Linked DNA regions of Rattus norvegicus. The protein of the gene in region 2 purifies or fractionates together with the protein of the main gene of each other region. This does not show direct contact. Links are inferred from orthologs where the notes say so. Each region holds a gene or a part of one and is shown on either strand. Other genes may lie near its edges.

Region 1 (2,880 bases), on a different chromosome or scaffold from region 2:
AGTGGGAGGTCAACTCAGTAACAACAAAGGCTGAGTGTGGAGTCAGAGCGACAGAAGTGGCGGGTGGACAGGTGAAGCGCACGATCAAACTGTATTTAACTGCATTAAAATGTAAACCTGAAAAGCTATCAGATTTTACAATTTCCCACCGGAGATCAATAAAGGCAGTCACTGCACACTTAGATGCAGTTAATATTCCTATAAAGTTGGGCTGCACTTAGGCAGGCCAGGCAGGTGTAGGACCAAGTCTCTGCTCAGATGAGCAGCCCAGCACAGGACACAGGACAAGGAGATCTGCTATATGCTGGGTGCAAACAAGACAGACTGGGTTCTGTTCTGAGACTCTGCTTGTCTAGAGCCACAGGCGTTGAATACAGAGCTAAGAGACGCACAGTCACGAACAACCACAGTGCCCTTACTGCCTGCAGAGCGTGTGACAGACAGTGCACCATGCCCAGCGGTCATGAGCTGCACACTTACATGTTACAGAAACTAAAGAGTCTAAAAAATGTTAGGAAAACTGCTATTCCAGTCTCTCTCCGTCATTGACAGCTTCTATTATGTGAACATACAGGTGTCCTCCGTGTCTTAATTAAGGACTTCTCTCCAGGCATGAGAATATCACTTTTTATTATTATTATTGTAACTTTAATTCTGTAACATTTACTGAAGTAAAGAATCAATTACGGTCTCAGGCTTTGCAGAACGCTTTCTGTTAAGAGAAGAAAAAAATGCAAGGTGAGTGGTTTTCCCTAAGAGACTGAACTGCCAACACTTTTTGTGGTCAGGGTCCAGGAATGGACCAACACTGCCCATGCTTGACATAGCAAGGTTCGCCTGCTACCCATTTTTTCCAGGGTAGGTCACTGAAAGCAAGCACAAGAGCAGGTTGCCACAGCACAGTATTCCAGAGTGGTGAGCAGCTGAGCGTAGGCGGGGTCAGACAAGGTGCAGTCAGGTGGCAGCTAAACTTATCAGGGATGCCCCTTGGTCATCTCCTCCGAGGACGCTAACAGTACAGGCAGCCTCAGAGAAGCAGGAAAAGCAGTCACTTGCCAGGTGCAGGCGCTGAGCCTATAGGAGTCTGTCATGGGCTTTCTTTGTTGCTGTCCAGCACACTCAACTGCAGGCCTCTCAAGAAGCACTGCTCTGTTTTCTTATTTCTTAGGATAACTACGGGGTTTTTCCAGGCCTGGATTCTGTTACAGAGTAGAGTCTGCATCATATGTTGGCCCACAAGTATTTTCTTTACCTTAAGTTAAACAAGAGGCATATATTTTACAGTGGTGCATTATAAAAACTAAATCAAAACAGCTTGCCAAACTATTTGTTATAAGATCTATACAGTTTAAAAAATGTAGTTGAGTAACCTGGGTCCTCTTTTTTTTTTTTTTGGTTCTTTTTATCGGAGCTGGGCACCGAACCCAGGGCCTTGCGCTTCCTAGGCAAGTGCTCTACCACTGAGCTAAATCCCCAACCCCACCTGGGTCCTCTTTTAAAAGGCAATAGTCCAGTAATAATGGGGCCTCTGTTCCCACACTAACAAGGGACAGAACCTCTCTCCCAGCTTGCTCCCCTGCCCTGCTCTGCCTGTTTCTCTGTCAAGCCAACTGTCTCATTATGATTCGCCCCATTTGAAGTGCATCTTCATAATAACTGGCGAGCAGAGACGAGCATCTTCCAATGGCAGAACAGTGGGGCTGCAGGGATGTGTGGTGCTCAAGGGCATTTGTTGTTATTCTGAAGACCTGAGCTCACATCCCAACACTCACATGGTGGCTCTCAATCAACCACTCCAGGGGACCTGACGCCTGGTACACATATAAGCATGCAGGGAGACACTCATATATAGATAATACTTATAGATTTAAAGATTCCATGTACAGATTCAGTTAGCATATAAAAATCTTTAAATCATCTACATGTTACAAAATGCAAAACTCTTGTAATATTTTAACAGGCAACTGATTCCTTCAAGCCCTAGTTTAATGATCTCGATTTTTTAGTATTACATTTAAAGACTATGTAACACCAATTAACCACCCTGCATGTAAAACAAAAGTCTTGTAATTGGTTCAAATCAGTTCAATGTAGGAACACAGGGAGCATTAGCCCCAAGCCTCTGCGCTTAGTGATGAAGCACAGACTACACAACTATCAAAACTGGTGCGAGTCACACGCGCTTCTCTTGAGATCTAGGAAATCAGTGTCCTTGGAGCAATGTCTTTTGAGAATCAAACTAGGCAAATTAATTAGTATCTAAGTAGGAGACTTAGTGTAAAAATTAAGACCCTCAACAAGAGAGTAGGTGGTGGGTAAACACTAGGAAAGGTCTTCCCGGGGCAGAAGTCTGAAAGAGCTGCTCTTTTCCTGTTTTGTTTGAGACAGGTCTTACTGTGAAGCCCTGGCCATCTTGAATGTGCAATGCAGATGAGGCTGGCCTGGAACTCAGATCTTCAGTCTGCTGTCACCCACGTCCTGGGAAAAGGTGTTTGCCACCACAACTGTCCCAGAGTGCAATTCTTTATCTCTACTTTGCTTATCAAATTGTAACTGCATAAAGACATAATTTCAAACTGTGCCATTTCAACTAAAGTTTGACTGCCTTTAAGTGTATCTGAATCTACCTTCTCAACCTGCTCACCTTCTACCGGTCTTTGGCCTGGCCTTTCCCTTGGAGGTCCGTGGCCTTTCTAACTTCATCAGAGACTGACGCAAACTCTCCTCTGTATAGGCGAGGTACACGTGGGAAAGGTCTACTTCAAATGGCTACAAGAAAACACATACGCATGTTAAACCAGAATGGGGAAGATTTAAAACTTGTCGGACATGAGGCAGAAGAACCACTAAAGAGAAAATCAAATAACCCTTAAGGTGTTT
Region 2 (2,671 bases):
AGCTGCCTGGAAAATGGACATCTTGCCTTTTTGTCAGCATTGGTGACTCTTTGCTAAGATGCTTTTGAAGAACAGATTTTCTTCTAACAGTTTATTCGTAGACAAAACAAAATTGTGAATTCAGAGTAAACTGTGTCTGTGCTGTGGGCTGTCTTTGTGACTCTAGGGCTTCTGCTTGCATAGAGTAAACCAGAGCATACAATTGTGTTGCTTTTACTAAAAAGGAAAAGATACACAATTTGGCTTTCAGAGTTTACAGACCAACTCTGGCTGGTTTGCAGGCCGTGTAGCGTTCTCTCTTGTTCTTTCAGACTCGTATAACTTAGATGTGTTGGGAGTTCACTGCTGATACTCAGATTGCATATCCTATTAATTGGGGGATCGTCTCTATTCCTCAGGACAGAGACCGTGCAATAGTCCGCAAACCCTTGCCATGCCATCATTCCCAGTGCAGTAATGCACTCACTGCTCGAATGTGATTTTCCCTAGTCCTTCATAATTTGTTCATTCAAATCGTTTTCAATTGAGTCTTCTGCTTTATGTGGAACAGACCCTCCAGACAGGTTTCTGATATTTGGACATATATTGTCAGAGGCATATATTTTATTGTGTACATTTTAATGAGAATATAAAAGGTTAATAATATCTTTGAAAATTATGTCGCTGTCAAGGAGTCTTTGAAGTGAGCTTCTGGGGTCCTGACAATGACCTGCTGTGGTTGAAAGCAGAGCACTTCTAACCTGCCTTTCTCTTTCCAGCCTTGGAATGGATGGCTTTGGTCAGCCAGTGGGAATCCTCGGACGCCCCGCCACCGCATATGGATTCCGCCCTGACGAGCCTTACTACTACAGCTTTGGGTCTCGATAAAATCACCCTCCCATGTATAACTCGGCTGAGGAGAGATCTGTGTGCTGTGGGCTAACCTTGAATCTTGACTTAATAATGCATGTTGTTCTCCTGTGGGGCTGCGTTGCTTATTTCTCCCCGCTGTTAGCTTCGGGTTAGCGCTAACCTCACGCCTTTCGTTGACATGGTTGATGCTCCACCGTTCACGCATCCAGCCACATCTTGAGGTGAATGACATTTCCCATGAGACTGCTGCAGAGCTGCTAGCCTGGAAAAGCAGATGCTACACCATTTACACTACGTGACTAATCTCTATTAAAAGGTGGCATGCCCGCAAAGGAGTGGGCCAAAGTCATGTGTTCATACTGTGTTTCACAGGAACCACTCATGTACATGGGATACACATACTTTTTTTTTTTTTGCGTTCTCTTTCTTTTTATAAACTCCTAGTGTTTCGTGTGAGCCATGCTGCCTTTACCTTTTATTTTAAATGAACCTCATTCTTTTTATCCCATGCTGTGTCTGGAAGTTTCTTTCACAAAGTTTTTAACTATATGAGTTTTTTAACTTAACAGTGAACACATGCTATAAGTAAGTTATGCACGTATAGACTAGCGAGTGACCCAGAGTCCTGACATGTTAACTGCAGCAGACACTGAGGAGCGGGATCCTCTGTGAGTGCAGCAGGAGCAACACTGAGCTTGTAAGTTTTGTTCTTCTGAGATGTACGATGTAAACTGTGAAGATGCTAAGTATTTTTGCCTTACCTAAGAAAATTAAGGAAAGGACTCTCTGTTCACTTAAGTTAGAAGTGGGTGGTGGGAATAAAAGGGACACAATGATTAATAATGGGTTTTGAAAATAATTCATTGATTGTAAAATACTGAAAACTTTCCTTGAGAAACCAAGCAAATGAATCCAATATGAGCACAGATCATCTCCTACTGAAGGAAACATACAATTCAGAACAGTGCAGGTCAAGGGGAAGATTTCTGCTTTTAAATTTAAAATCCCACTGATCCAAGTATACTGTTTACCTTAATTCACACGTTTCACAGAGTCCTGGTGCTGGGACGGTCATCTGCCTGAGAAATGTAAAGCTAAGCAACAGGTGTGCTCTCACCTGACACACACGGTAGTGTATGATCTGGGACGGCGTCTGTGTGTGCTCTACAACTCTGAATGCATGCAGCTATTGTCTTTGTTTCCCTTTACCCACAAAATATTAAAGCCAGAAAGGTTCGAATCAGCACTGTCCAACTCTCATTTTTACGACTAAAAAAAAAAATCTATGGTGAGAGCCAGTGGGATGACTGGGTAAGTAAAGTCACTTGCCACCAAGCCTGAAGTCCTGAGTTCAAGTCCCAGGACCTACGTGGTTGAAGGAGCAAGGCGATTGCTGCACATTGTCTTCATACATGCACCCTAACCCCACACTGTGACACACGTGCACCCTACATGAACCCCAAGACAACTACGTGTAAAATATTTTTTTAAACTGAGGTGAGATATTAATGACTTGCCCATGTTTCTATATTTAGTCAGTGGATTACCTGACTTGGTTTTCACTACAGCAGTCTTTGTACAGATGCTTCCCTGCTGCTTATCACATGTGTAGTCTATGTACACGTGCTGTCCATCACATGCACAGTCTATGTACACGTGCTGTCCATCACATGCACAGTCTATGTACACATGCATCCATCACATGCACAGTCTATGTACACGTGCTGTCCATCACATGCACAGTCTATGTACACGTGCTGTCCATCACATGCACAGTCTATGTACACGTGCTGTCCATCACATGCACAGTCTATGTACA

Evidence for each region. The genes of interacting proteins can lie anywhere in the genome.
Region 1: the proteins of Kifap3 (region 2) and Kif3a purify together in Homo sapiens (co-immunoprecipitation; 9 studies listed by BioGRID and IntAct, counting the BioPlex papers as one, with this or other methods). This does not show direct contact. The link is inferred for Rattus norvegicus from reciprocal best matches to the Homo sapiens genes KIFAP3 and KIF3A.

What each region holds. Positions count from the first base shown.
Region 1 is NC_086028.1:38,257,723-38,260,602, reverse strand, and holds the end of Kif3a (kinesin-like protein KIF3A), read right to left. Parts: intron 2,770-2,880; coding exon 2,645-2,769; intron 1,253-2,644; coding exon of another isoform or gene 1,249-1,252; exon of another isoform or gene 713-1,248; coding exon 664-712; 3' UTR 614-663; downstream 1-613. UniProt on the Homo sapiens protein: Microtubule-based anterograde translocator for membranous organelles. Plus end-directed microtubule sliding activity in vitro. Plays a role in primary cilia formation. Plays a role in centriole cohesion and subdistal appendage organization and function.
Region 2 is NC_086031.1:78,795,727-78,798,397, forward strand, and holds the end of Kifap3 (kinesin-associated protein 3), read left to right. Parts: intron 1-758; coding exon 759-867; 3' UTR 868-2,095; downstream 2,096-2,671. UniProt on the Homo sapiens protein: Involved in tethering the chromosomes to the spindle pole and in chromosome movement. Binds to the tail domain of the KIF3A/KIF3B heterodimer to form a heterotrimeric KIF3 complex and may regulate the membrane binding of this complex.